2 linked regions of the Caenorhabditis elegans genome follow. The protein of the gene in region 1 purifies or fractionates together with the protein of each later gene. This does not show direct contact. Each region holds a gene or a part of one and is shown on either strand. Other genes may lie near its edges.

Evidence for each region. The genes of interacting proteins can lie anywhere in the genome.
Region 2: the proteins of dhhc-13 (region 1) and arx-5 fractionate together in Caenorhabditis elegans (co-fractionation; one large-scale study listed by BioGRID). This does not show direct contact.

Annotation. Positions count from the first base shown.
Region 1 is NC_003282.8:5,914,704-5,923,423, reverse strand, and holds dhhc-13 (Palmitoyltransferase), read right to left. Parts: upstream 6,099-8,720; 5' UTR 6,052-6,098; coding exon 5,969-6,051; intron 5,909-5,968; exon of another isoform or gene 5,885-5,908; intron 5,805-5,884; coding exon 5,631-5,804; intron 5,375-5,630; exon of another isoform or gene 5,354-5,374; intron 5,215-5,353; coding exon 5,103-5,214; exon of another isoform or gene 5,100-5,102; intron 4,978-5,099; coding exon 4,842-4,977; intron 4,772-4,841; exon of another isoform or gene 4,751-4,771; intron 4,642-4,750; exon of another isoform or gene 4,621-4,641; intron 4,569-4,620; coding exon 4,314-4,568; intron 4,267-4,313; coding exon 4,168-4,266; intron 4,076-4,167; coding exon 3,895-4,075; intron 3,586-3,894; coding exon 3,499-3,585; intron 3,279-3,498; coding exon 2,959-3,278; intron 2,816-2,958; exon of another isoform or gene 2,787-2,815; intron 2,576-2,786; exon of another isoform or gene 2,555-2,575; intron 2,412-2,554; coding exon 2,243-2,411; intron 2,194-2,242; coding exon 2,028-2,193; 3' UTR 1,826-2,027; downstream 1-1,825.
Region 2 is NC_003281.10:12,814,988-12,820,877, forward strand, and holds arx-5 (putative actin-related protein 2/3 complex subunit 3), read right to left. Parts: upstream 3,114-5,890; 5' UTR 3,110-3,113; coding exon 3,001-3,109; intron 2,945-3,000; coding exon 2,871-2,944; intron 2,826-2,870; coding exon 2,751-2,825; intron 2,233-2,750; coding exon 1,939-2,232; 3' UTR 1,802-1,938; downstream 1-1,801. Other genes in the region: BE10.4 (DUF148 domain-containing protein), read left to right, coding at 202-390, 897-1,034, 1,586-1,723; Y37D8A.25 (PH domain-containing protein), read right to left, coding at 3,737-3,893, 4,026-4,207, 5,159-5,245; Y37D8A.2 (Putative phospholipase B-like 1), read left to right, coding at 5,271-5,339. UniProt on the Caenorhabditis elegans protein: Functions as a component of the Arp2/3 complex which is involved in regulation of actin polymerization and together with an activating nucleation-promoting factor (NPF) mediates the formation of branched actin networks.

The DNA.
Region 1 (8,720 bases):
TAGAAACTGATGACCCAATTAGAAACTCATCACTCTTCCCCCTTTCCACCCATCTCCATATTTCTAAATATCCCACCAATCACTCCAACGTGGACAGTCTCTCCCACTCCCCGCAAAATTCGAAGGTGTCAATCAAACGTGGCTAATCTATTTTTCTGATCTTTCTCGCGTTGAACACTGCTGCATCGCCTACACGTTACCTATCAGAACATCGTATATCTACCTAGGCTATATCAAAAAGTTGAAATAGTGAAACAGGAATTTCGTAACCTAAAAAAATATGTTTACTTTTTTGGTTTTTTCAAATGAATTTTCCAAAATTCAAAATAAGCTAGACAGAAAACTGATAAGTTTTGCGAAAAATCATTTTTTAATGAACAACGTTACTAATTGTAAATATATTTCTATGAAAACGGCTAGAGATACATGCTTCAAGATCGATTATAAAATGTAGACCCGCACGGTGTCGGTCCCTCCAAACAACTGCAATCATTATAAGAACAATTATTTGTTTGTCATATTCTCAGAGATTTTTCAAAAAATTAGATAGAATAAACTTTAAAATTTTGATTTTAGGCAAAATTTAGAGCTTCAGCGAATGGCTGCTGAGTTATCAAGTTTTTTCCCCGGAAAAATGTCAAAAGGTTTGGAAAGAAGACATTGATAAAGATAAAATATTCATCACAGGTGGAGAAGGAAGTGATGAAGTATTCTGAACACAATTTATGAAAATTATAAAGGAGCTGAAACCGTCGATCGAAATGGTGTGAAATGCCGATTAGTTCTAATTTAACTACCACAAATCATGACATGAACCATTTCGACATGTATCATGTCTTTTGTGGTAAATCGGAAGGCGGCAGACCGTAACAAATGAGAGATAGAGTGTGGAAGACGAGAAGACGCAGACAATGAACAAAGAGATCCGCCGACAAGGGCTCCTCTCTCATTGAGTATCAATTTCTACTCGTTTCCACTTGAGCGCCGATCCTTCTGTGTCTCTTGAAACTATATTCTTACTGAGTGAGGGAAGACATCACAGGATGATCAATTGGAGAAGATGGAATCGAAATCCATATTTTTTCTATTACTGTGGCAGAAACTGTAGAAAGTTTTGATGAATATATTATAAGATCTAGTTTGTTTGTTAAAAGTGGTCTGGTAAAGTTCAATTTTAGCAAGATATACTAGAAGCGGATCGAAATAGAATTTTTTCACAGCTTCAACATTGGCATTAACAGTAGATGAATAACTAGTGTGTTAATCCATGAGTCGTTTTGATAGCGTTTTTCTGTGCTTGAACAAACTCTAAAATACTCTAAAAAATCCCTTATTCTCAAATGATAATTTATACAAAATTCCAAAAAAATTATGGAATTGAGAAAAATCAAAAATTTTTACAGCTTCACCTGCATTAACAGCAGATGAATAGCTAATTTTTAATTCAATGTTTAGTTTACATGGGGATTTTCTGTGCTTGAATATAACTTCAAAATTTCACTAAAGTTTTATTATTTTTCAATTTTGCAAGAATTATTTTTGGTGTTTTAACTTTTACGTTATCAGGCTAAATTAATTTAGGCCTCTTTGTTATTCACTAGTGCGGGATCTCAAAATAATTTTGCCCTTTCAATTTTTTTTTTGAAAAACTGAAAACAATCATGAAATATTTAGATGAATTATCAGTTTTTCAATTTATAGTAAGTACGTGGAGACGTTTTCAATTTTCAGACATAATGCTTAAATAATATTGCATACTGTTTCGCATTTCTCATGTAAGTGGAATAACTTTTTCATGAAAGTCTATGTTGGCAATAAGCGGAAAATAATCAGTTTCATTTATTAGTGGACCGATCATAAAAATTTTTTACAAAAATGGACGAAAAAATCAAAAGTGGAATACAAAAACTCGTTTGAAAAATGAGATTCGAGAAAGAATTCAAGACAAATTGGAACTATGAAGATGCTCTAGTCAATATCAATTAAATCATACAACTTAACGAACAGTCTATTTAAAAATGGAAGTTTTAGAAATATGAAGACGATGTTTCGAATGAAGATGATCCATGTCCTTCATCAATTTCTTCTCCATCTCCAAACTTGTCAAATGCCAATAGATTACACACATTTCGAATTCTAGTCTTCACACTTTGTTTGTATTCCCATGGATTATGTTCTGGCGATGTTATGGTCCTGAATAAAACGCCAAAAATATTTATCAAACTTTTTGATAATTACAAACTTTTCACTAGAATTTCTCTGGAGTCTTTGTTTCCGAATAATCTCGATGGTAGAGACATGACGAGAAATTTGTGAGAATTGAGTACAAGTGATGGCTCCGGCTCCGAAAACATGAGGGATTGCGAGGATGAGACTGATTACCATCAAACCATGGTCGTTTAGGGTTTGTTCTGAAAAAATGATTTCCGAATAAAGTTATCGTGTTCGTGACACGAGATTTTATAGCAACTAGTTGAAACAGTAGAAATTTGAAATCGCATGTTTCATATGTTTCATGTTCTCATTTTAACATCGTAAAACTAAAAACCGATAGTAACTTTCCGTCTACGTTAACTTACTAGTTAGCACAGAACTTCACAAATCTTTCAATTTTTTGTGCAACGTTCTTCAGACGCCTTCCTACCTAGACGCCTACCTGATGCCTATTTGTATGAATTTTGGAGCTTTTATTACACTTTGCCGGTTTTCTAAATCAAGATTTTTGAAAATGCGCGTCAAAAAAAAGTCTGGTTGGAAATAATTATTTAATGCCTCAAAAATTGACAGATAATAATCAGCCGAATTCAACAACTTGCCTCCTTCTTCTGGCAACTTTATGGGTTTTACGAAAATGTACTGAGAATGTACAAAACAAAATACAGAGTCTATCTAAATTTATGCAAAAATTTGGATATTTATAACCATTTTTGGCAGTAGCTTGTTCTAAAACTGACTTACCGAATCCGGATGCATTCATGGAGGCACCAATCATGTACAACAACAATAGAACGTAGAACACGTGAAACATGAAGATTGTAAGACAGAAAAACACGAAAGCTCGAAGATTCTTCCGATAGACACATTTGTGAATCCATGGACAATGATGATCAAATCCATCGACACATTTGTCACATTGAGAGCAATGATGAGAGGATGAAGTCTTTGGAATCCAACAAGTAAAACAGTATCTATCGATTTGTTTCTCTTCCAGATCTTTGATGAAATCTTTGAACGGAGTTGTAGAACGAGGAAGGACACCGGGATTTGTTAGGATCAAGCTGAAATCAATGTAATCAATTCTTAAAATTGTTGTAAACATTCTGAAAAAAATACTGTTTCATATAGGTTTTATTAGATTTTCGAACAGATTAGTTTTTAATTCCCAAAAATAATAATGTATTACAAATGTTACGAAACTTTTTGGTATGTAAGATTTGATATAACTTTCACCGTAATCAGACTAATTTTATTTAGAAAATCTATGATTTTGTGACTTACATCCAATAAAACGATGCTGAAATAACCCAAATTGAGCAGACAAAAATCAGAACCGACCAATGAACCAATCCATTTGAATTGAAAATTCTGAATTTTTGGTTTTATTGAATAGTTGAAATAATTCCAGAAGTGAAAATAGGTTTTGACTGTAGGCTTGCCGATTAGTCCTACTCATGCCTCGTGCCTACACCTGCGCCTACTGCCAACTTATACCTGATTCTTCGTTATTTTTGGTCAAATTTTCAAAGTTAATAAGCTGAGTGAATTTACAAACATCTATTGAAAAGTATTACGCCAAATGCAGACAAAGACGCATAGGCGAACTAACTTTAAAGCTAGGAGGTTTTTAAAATTATTACTGTTTCAAACGGTTTCAAATTGTTTTTTGAGACTCACAACAATGCAAATTCAGCAATTCCCATCCAAAAGATATAAGTGACTGGAAGACATCCAAATTGATCCATTTGTCTTCTTTGTACCAAAATAAAAAGCAATAAAGCTGTCAAAGCAAGTCCACCCAAGACCACCCAGAAGTTTGTGAGAAAATATAGACCAGTTGCTGCACCAATCATTACACCTGGAAATATTATACAATAAGTTTTTAGAATATATTGAAAAAAAGTGAGAAAAGTTCACAATCTTTAATGGTGAAATAAAAAGCTAAATAACCTGAAATGGTTGCAGTAAAAAATTGGCCAAGGAACCAGCGAGAGGTAACCTTTTCACAAATTGTACCCAGTTCACAAATATTTCGAGCTGTCACTTGCTCTGAAAACTCTTTTTTTCATTTTATGAAGACATTTTACACTGCTCACTGTCAACTAGATTTCGGAATTTGTTGTCCATCAAATCACGTGCTGAAACCCCATTGTTATCGGTTTTCGTGTCATCTGCTCCAGAACAAATCAGCTCAACAACTCCTTTCAAATTCTGACGAGCAGCTAAAATATGAAGAGCAGTATTCCCCTTCTCATCATCAGTGAAGTCAAGATATGCATCAACTTTTGTGAATATACGAATAGGAAATAGTCCGAAACTCTTATCAGCAGCCATCATAAGTGCCGAACGACCTGGAATTTATTATGGTATGTAAAACTGTAAAATGCGTATAAATGGTTAATAATTCGATGCGACGCACACATATTGTAACTTTAGATTTTGGCTCAATATGTCAAAAACATGAAATAGTGTATAATTTTTGTCAATTTAAAAAATAATTTTAGAATGTGTTGTCCGAAAATATATTTCTGTTCAGAGAGAGAAAAACACAGCATCAGTAATCTATATTCCATTCTGTATCTATTGGCATATTGAAACAGTAGATTTTTTTCCCAAAACCTCACCTAAATTATCTCTCGTATCTTTGATATTATCAAATTTTACGAGCAAATAAGCAATTATAATAAAGTTTCCAGTGCAGGCAGCCAAGTGAAGAGGAGTCTCGCCGTTTATATTTTTAATTGTTGGATCTGCGCCATTCTGAGAAAAAAAATCTTCTTCTAACTTAACTTAACAAGATAACTTTTTTTCAATGTTGGAAATAAATTAAATCATCACCACTTCAAACTCTTTACAATATCCTTTACAAACTAACAGAACAGTACCTTGACAAGAGCCATGACTGCTCCAAATTGTGAATTATAACAGGCCCAGTGAAGAGGTGTCGATTTCATATTTCCTCCAATTAAATTAATGTCAGCGCGATGTGAAAGCAGCCTGGAAGATTATTAATCTTCTCAGAACAAAAAATAACTCGAAATTATTTTATTTTGTCGCTTTTAGACAAGTTGCTTCAAAAAGAAATGAATTACGGTGCACATATGGGACAGTCCCAATGGTGTTTTTTTTTTAATATTCAACAATTATTCTGAGCTTAATGGAACAATTAAAGTTAAGATGATAATATGGTGGAAATGAAACAGTGGAAATTTGCAAATACAAAATGAAAAATTACTAACATTTTTGAAAATACTTATTGTGGAGCACTGAAAGTTCGAACAGAAATAAGTCAAAATCAAACAAATAACGTTTTAAAATCTTGGAATTTACTAAAAGAATTTTGAATATTTCAATGGTTGCAGTTTTCAAACTCTGAATGGTTTGAAAAATAATCCCATCTTCTGAAAACGTACAGTTGAATAATATCCAATTTATTATTAATTGCAGCCCAATGAAGAAGTCCACATCCTTCGTGATCGAATTCATTAGCCGAAACATGTCCATTCAACAGAAATCGAACGGTTTGAATTTCTCCGATTTGGCAGGCACGTACCGCTTGATGCATTTTTGAATCCATTTCTGCGCCACTGCAAGTTGGAAACTATATAGTTTGTAGAAGAGATTTTAAGATTCACACCCAGGAAATAATTTATTTTCTGATTATTTCCGAGTAGCTATTACAACATTAATAATTGCATTAAAAACTGTTTCAAAATATGAAACAAATAAGAAACAGTGAAAAAAGATAAACCTGTTTGTTGTGTTGGAAGTTGTTGAAATTGCTCCAGTGGAAGTTTCAGTTTTCTCTTCAATTGTCGAAAGTCGTCCGGGCATTGGTAATCAATAAATCAATAAATATTGATTTATTTAAAGAGTTACGTGGAATGTCGGAACAAATTAAGTACACGGATCTTTTTTTCACGTTAAAAAACAAAGAATTTTTGAATTTTGTTTACAGTTTCACGCTGTCAATTATTGACAAATCAAAAAATTTCACACGCTTAAATCACCATTATCGTCTCAAAAAAATAAACTTGTTGTAAAATCAAAGAAAATATGAGACAAATGCTCACGTGCTGTGCATGCAATTATGGAAGACGTAGGTAGCCTGGAAGGCAGACAGGCGTTTTTGTGCCTACTTAGATTGTTTTCGGTTCTATAATTCAATGTGTTCTTTGTCATATCAGCAGCTGGAAAACCACTTGAATCGAGTTTTTCAATCATGTTTTGAACTAGAAAAGATCATCCGAATAACGAGGAACGGCAGCTGCAGAAGAGAACACAAAAAACATCGAAAAATAAGGGGATTTGTGTTTTCGAGTTCACAAAAAATCGGATAACATCGTGAAATCTGCCCGATTTGCACATTTTTTACAATCTTAGCTTACTGTAGTTTGAGAAAATTCGAATTTTTAGTTTTTGAAGAGATATTGGGTTGAGAGTTGGTAAATTTATTGTAATTTTTACAGTTACTTTGAAAAATCAGCTGATTTGGAGATTGACTTGAATATAAGGGAATAACAGATTGAGTTGACATATGAATTGTGGTGTTGGAATTGGTAGTAGCAGAATTGATATGAATTTGAACTCCACGTATTTTTTGTACATCTTGTGAAGTTGAAAACGTACTTATTTTGTCTTGTTCAATTCAATTTCAAAATCACCGTGCTGCTTTTTGTAAGTTCTCATAACTTCTTTTTCGGATGAGTCGGAATCGAACCGGAGTTTCCATTTTGTCGAGTGTTGCTCAATGCGATTTGATTCAGTGATTGTTCTCTCTGCGAGGTCGACAATATCGAAGATTGTTCCGAATAGAGCATCGATCGGTCCTTTCCGGATTTCCACAACATTTTCAATGTCGTCTTGTGCTTCTTCATGGAGATCTTTCAGTGTCGATAGACATCTTCCGATTTGCTGGCGAAAGATTAGACTCATCTTGTGCTTTGAAGATTGTAGGATCTTTTTATTTAGTGGTCGCCATGCTAAGGAAATCTTTAAAAGAAAATAACAGGAGAATAAATCGACATATTTTTGATAAATACATACAAAACGAATCATCGAAAAAAAACTCCGAAAATCCCTTTTCGATTTTCCCTTTTTCAATATTCGAGTTTTTCTGAAAAACATCAAAACAATTAAAAAAAAAACTGAAAAAATCGGAAATTTTTTGATTTTTTCCATGGCCATACATTGCATCAGTTTCCATCAGTAAAACTGCCCGGCCTTCTGTTTTTTCAGTTCCACATTTATTTTCTTTGAAGGGCGTTTTCCGGGGGCAATAAATTGGGCTTATTTCAGACTTAAAGCCTGGAGTGATATTAATTCCTAAAATATCAAAAAGCGAGCATAAATATCAGTTCCCCTTACAATTTTACTAAATTCTAGTTTTGAGATGCACAAATTCAGTTTTACAAGGTTTTTCTGCTTCTTCCAACCTTATAAAATAGATGGAGAGTCGTGTCAGAATACAAATTACCTAGTCCACTTCTCCCTCATTCATTTCTCCTTGGGGTTCCTGAAAAAACACATATACCAAACTTCAAAACTCATAAAACTAATCCATCTTCGTGCATTCCTTCAAACTTTTTCCTTCTCCTTCATCACAAATGCTAATTTTTTGTTCTTTCCACCCGCCGCTGGCAGTTTACTTCCTCTCTTTACCACCTTATTCCATAAAATCGTCCTCCGTTCATCATCATTTAAACTGCCCTTTTTCTTCTCTTTTTTTGTCAAGCACATACACACAAAAAAGCGAAGATGAAGAGAGCATCGGAGCGGACGCGCAAGAGCAAAAGAGAGCTCAAATCGCATTTGTCGTCCCTAACTCGTTAGCACTGGACGGAGTAGAGGGAGAAGGAAACGGCAAAAACGACAACGGCACTTTTTTTGGCACTTTTCTATTTTCTCATCAACGAGTCCCTTTTTATCTTATGCTCTGTGTGCATGTGCTCAATTTGATCCAATTTGGTACAAAATGTTCTTCTCGAGCAGTTTAACATTTTGAAAGGCGAGCCATAAACTTCTAAGCCGAATCTGTTGAGAATTTTAAAATCAATGAGTATTGGTTTTCTTTTTGAAACAAGTTACTCTTGTTAGCGTTACAATAACTTTCAATGGGCCATATACATATTCTTGTGTTCTTGCATCATGAAAAAATCACCCATTTATTTATAACCTTACTGAAACAGTTGAAATTTTATGTGAAAATTAACAAAAAATTAACGTCTTATCAAAAATCCACTCCGCAAAAATACTTTTGAAAAGGAAATGAAACAGGGTTTTTATTTTCCAATATTTTTGACTGAATTTCAAGATAATATGAGGCGGCACCAACGCAAACGTAACAAAATTAATGTGTATTCATTTTCTAGTGACCGCTATTAGAAAAGAAGTTACAAATTTGTTTGTTTTCAGCAAGAAACCTATTTTTGCCAAAAGATCAATGCTGTTTGGAGTTTATTTTTCAAAATTATTATAAAATTTTTCTACGGAATCAGATTAAA
Region 2 (5,890 bases), on another chromosome or scaffold:
TCAAATTTTGATTTAGTTTTTCAATAAATAAAAATATTGTTATCGAAAAAATAAGAAAAATCGATAAAAATCCCGCAAATTTTGAAACTACAGTAATCTTAAAGACGCACAGGCGCACACCTTTTTGCAATTAACATTCCGTGTCGAGACCCGATAATTTTGGCTCGAAAACCGCAAATTTTCGTGTTTTTCTTCTTTCAGACGGCCTATTTTTGCGATGAAGTGCAACAAAAAGAGGTCGGCGACTTGTTTCATCAATACGATCGATCGATAGAAATAATCGATAAAGTACGTCACGAGTTGACGAGTACGGAGAAAGATCAACTAAATATGATGGAGAACTTGAATGACACGTTGGCCGAGCAGACATTCTTCGTTTACAAGTTTCATGTGAGCTAGCCCATAGCCTTTTTGAAATTAGCGTGAAAACGCGCTCCACGGCCAATCCGCCCCCGAGCCATGGGTCTCGTTAGGTATCCGGCAGGAAAACTGTAAATTCAATTTTTTGTCGATTTTCAAGCATTTTTTGTCTTTTTTTTTAATGTTTTCGTTGTTTTTAATGAGTTTTACGCCAAAATTACGGGTTTCTGGCTTCCCTCATAAATTTAAATGGAAGAACTTTTTGCCGAACTAGGCCAGTCCATATCTGGGGTAGATTTACGGCGCGTTGCGTGTCGCGTCGCGGCTCGATTTTAGTTTTAAAACTGATGTATTTGTCCGTGTGGAGTACACGACTTCCCATGTCCGGCGAGCGATTGTCAATGGAGCGCGAAAAATTTAATGAGGAAGGCCAGAAGCCCTAACGAGACCCAATTGGCCGTGGAGCGCGTTTCCACATCGATTTCAAACGCTGGATTTTTCTGCGTCTCCATAATAATTACTACTATCAATTTCAGCAACTAAACCCAGTCGACCTGGCGGTTCTAACATCTGCGAAAGCTTCTCTCACCACTGCTCTTTCTGCAACAGACCCGGATGCTTCATTGAGCAAAGCGATGGGCTCATTTAGCCCTCAGGATTTGGAAAGAATGGCTGTAAGTGTTGAAAAATCAAAAAAAAAAAATTTTATTTATTTTTCCAACAAAAAAAATTGAAATTTCCTTCTCTTCTGAATAAAAAATCAGCAATTATTCAAATAAAATAATTTCGCAATATTTTAAAATTCCTTCTTAAAGGCGCACAGGTAAATTCAACTGGGTCTCGGCGCGCAAAAAGTTTATGGTGGTTTTTCTTTTTTATTTTTTTGTTAAAAACTGTTTAAATCAATTTTTATTCATTCTCTGACTGGAAAACGGCAAAAAAACTGATTTAAAACAATTTTTAACAGGAAAAAAGAAAAAAAAGTACCATAAACTTTTTTGCGCGCCGAGACCCATCTGAACAAATCTGTGCGCCTTTAAGACGGAAATCTTGGAAAATTACGGGAAATTAATAGTTTTTTTCCCGATTTTATTTGAAAAAACCTGAAAATTTTTCGATTTTCTAATAAAAAAGGCCTATATTTGGGGTTTTCTGAAAAAAATTCGACTATTTTCCAATTTTCTCGGAGAAAATCTTAAAATTTTCAATTTTTCTCAATTTCCAGGCTCTTCCAGTCTCCCAACTTCCCGAAGAGGTTCGAAGTCACTTGGCACGTTGCCAGATAACTGCTCCAGAAGTCGTACACGATACCGTGGCGTTTTTGTTGTCAGTGATGGGATCCAAGCAGACAAATTATCGGTAGAGCATAGAGATTTCGCGTATTTCGCGCACAACATATTTGACGCGCGCAAAATATGTTGCGTTACCGTAATAAAATGATGAAATCGGAATTTTAATGAATATTTTAAAGCAGCACAAAAAGTAAAACTGGACGCAATATAAATATAATTACATGGAAAAAAAAATGGGAAAAGTGAAAAAATTTTGAGCCAGATACAACAATAATTAATCGATAATTCACAAATTAACACCCTGTCCAACGAGCCCCTTGTCCATGAATCGTCTTCTCGCGAAACAGAGCCACCACTTGCTCGGACGATCTTGGGGATCCGGGAACGCGAGATCACACAGACGGGCGCCGATTTCTTGGCGAATTTGTTGCAAATAGGCACGCATTTCGTCCTCGTCCGGTTTCGATTGGGGCGCCTTGTACATGCTGTTCAGTGGGAATCCATTTTCACCGGGAATTGGAAGCAAATGACTGAGAGCCAAGGCGTGAAGATCCTTTTGGCCGGCTATCTTGTTTGGGCTCTGAAAATTTGAAAAAATTTGCAAAAAAAAAACATGTTTTTACGCTTTATTTCACTCAAAATAGCCCGAAAAGACCGAATTTTGTAACTAGAATTTTTTTTTATAATTTCCAAAATTTTGAGAAAAAAAAAAGTTGGATTTCTCCGAAGAAAATCGGAAAAATTTCGGATTTTTTCAGTGAAAATCGAAAAATTTTCGGATTTTTTCAGGGAAAACCAGAAAAATTTTGGAATTTTCAGGGAATATTAAACAATTTTTAGATTTTTTTCAGGGAAAAACCAAAAAAATTCGATTTTTTCAGAGAAAACCTTAAAATTTGTGGATTTTTCAGAGAAAATTGAAAGAATTTGGGATTTTTTCAGAGAAAATCGAAAATGTTTCGAATTTGAAATTTTCTACTTAAAAAAATCTGTTTTCGGTAGGAATGTTCAAAATATCCATTGAAATTCGGTATGTTTGGGTCTTTTTTTCTTATTTTTCAATCTAAAAAGTAGGTTTTTTTCGTGCAAAATCCGTACTTTTTGCAATTTTCTGAGGCACTCGGTGATGTAGAAGATGAGATAGATCATTGTACGGTCCGCGGGACCTTTGATCTGAAAATTTCTCAATTTTAATAGGGAAAAATCTCGAAAATCAACCTCAAATTCGCGGAAAAAGATGTTCGGCTTGAAGTAGGTGAGCGCTTCGTCGATGATGTCATCCTGATTGGTTTCTGCAATAATTTTAATATATAATATAGGTTTTTTCAATCAATTTTTGAAGACTTACGAGGCGCTGGACCCTTGAAATTGGTTCGAATCGGAAGTTTTCCCATATTTGTGTTGCCCAATGGCAAAACTTTGAGTTCAGTGTCGAATTTTGAGTGGTATGCCGGCATTTCACTGAAAAATAAGTGTTTTGTTTGGAAAAATGCATAGAAAACGGCTTATTTTCGGATACCCGAGGGGGGGGGGGGGTAAGTACATAATGAGTCACTGCGGCTGCGAAAAAAAATCGATAAATTGTGAAATTCGAGTTTTAAATTAAAATATAAGTATTTTATTCGATAAAAATGCAGTTTTTGAAGCGATAATGTCGTTGCGGACGCGAAAATTAAAGTAAAACCCGAAAATACACTTTTATTCGGAAATTCGTGTTAAAATATATGAAAACTTGGAATTAATATGATTAATATCAGCTTACAAGTTTCCTATAATCAGATATTTAAGAAAAATTGGAAAAAATCAAAGATTTTCTGCTTTTTAAACGTTTTTTCTGATGAAATTCTCTCCAGGAACGGAAAAATAAATAATAATCTCGTGTAAGTTTACGGTAAACAAGGCGCGACATCGGAATATCGGAGCATCGTTTGGAAATTTTTAATGAAATTTCGCGATTTTTTGCGAAAAAAACGATAAATTCAGGGAAATTCCAGCTGCAAAACAAAGCAAAAAACGTTAAAAATGTATGATTTATAATCAATAAGTCAAAATATCACAGTGAAAATGTGCAAAATGTATAAAAATCAATCCCTCATCGCTTTCTTCTGAGTTTGCTCGATTTGCTCATGAAAACTTTGTTTCGAGAGCTGTATATAGTCGATCGGGGAGATTGTGAGCAGCGAAACCCAACGTCCCAGCGATTTGAACGAGTCGGCGGCGAAGATGAAGCTTCGAGCAGTTCTGGAAAAAAATCGGATAATTTTAGGAATTTTCAATCGATTTTTCATCGATTTTCGATAAAACCGATAAAAATTCAGTTTTTTTTTGGAATTTAGTATTAATTTTTCGTGTTGAGACCCGGAAAAAACGCACGATTTGAATTTGATTTCAAAAGTGAAATCCTTGCCAATCTTATTCTCATCACATAATTCGATAAAACAGTCTTCAATAATTAGTAGTAAAAATGGAGGAGCCGACGTCTCCTCTTCGGTTTTATTGTACACGAAAAGCATATTGGCCTTGAGAACACCCCAGCCGGCACGCCATTGGAAATCCTGAAAAAAACTTTTTTTTTTAATAAAAAAATCATTTTTTTGATTTTTTAAATTTTCAAATTACTCCAAATTTCCCATATTTTGTTTTAAAAAAATTCAAAAAATTTCAAAAATCTTATATTTCAGCTTGAAAGCGCGAAACAATTTTCAAACTCGCGCCAGAAAAATTCTCATTGGAGCGCGCCATGCCATGTCGATTTACGAGGGGTTTTTTTGCAGCCAAATTCGGTTTTTTAAACCAGTTTTCTTCATTTTCTTCGGTTTTTTTAAATTAAAATGTGTTTTTTCGTGTAAATTTGGGTATTTTATTATTTTAAAAATTGAAAAATCAGTAAGTTTCGTTCACTTTACACGAAATAAATTATATTTCAAAAAAAAAAAATCAAAGAAACTAAAATTTGCAAGTTTCTTTGATTTTTTTGTTGAAAAATTTTTTTTTTCAAATTTTAAAAATCATAAAATTATTTCACATTTTCACTTAAAAAAACGCGAAAAATATAGAAAACTTGTTGAAAAACTGAAATTTGCAAACAAAATCTCTCGTAAATCGACGCGACATGGCGCGCTCCAATGATAATGGCCCTGGCGGATTTTAAGCTGAAATATGATAAAAAATTTCATTTTTTTATTTTTTGGAACTTTTTTGCAATTCCACTTTTATTACGGAACGACTAAATTCTGAAAATGCGTACCACGCAACATATTTGACGCGCAAAATATCTAGATACAGTAAAAAATATTTTGCGCGTCAAATATGTTGTGCAGTGCGCATTTTCGGAATTTTGGGTTCCTGTAATAATACAAGACGATCAAACTCTAAAGCACCTAACAATTGGTTTGATCTCCACGAAAACGCGAAAATATTTATCTTTTTCACGAGGTCAAAGGGTCACGGAGCACCTGACATGTCTGTGGTGCCATGCCCCGTCTCCCGAACAACTGCTTCAGTACCTGCTGCAACTGCAAAGGTCCCGAAAATCTTCTCTCAAACGTCGGATCCGAACCCAGCCGGAATAGTGAATTTGCGTTGGCGAGCATATCGTGTGTGTGGTGCTGCTGGAGAATGAATTGGATTTTTATATTTTTGGCTGCTGCGGTGGCGATTGGTTGTGAGGCGAGACAGGAGAGAACGGTAAGAATTAAAGAAATTTTTTTAGGTGGAGTAGCGCCAGTGGGGGGAAATTGCTTTAAAACACGCCTATGGGGTCACAATAACCGAATATCATGATAAAAAAATTCAAAAAAATTTTCTAAATTTTATATGATTTTTTGAAAATTAAAAAAAAACCAGTTTTCACCTAATTCCTATTCGAATTACCGCCAATTGGATTTGTTCGATGGAGCGCGCTTGCACGATTTTAAATTTATTTATTTTATTTTTTGTTACTTATTTTCCACCGATTTTTAATGTTTTCGGTGTGTATTTTTGCTTGAATTTTGAAGAAAAAGTCAAAATAAATGCAAATTTTCGATTAAAAAGCACGCTTACAGGCGTAAATCAGTGAAATTAATTAATTCAGGTGTGAAATCGTTTAAAAGCGTTACTTTTTCATTTTTACGCCTGTAAGCGTGCTTTTTAATCGAAATTTTGCATTTATTTTGCCTTTTTCTTCAAAATCCAAGCAAAAATACACCGAAAACATTGAAAATCGGTGGAAAATAAGTAACAAAAAATAAAATAAA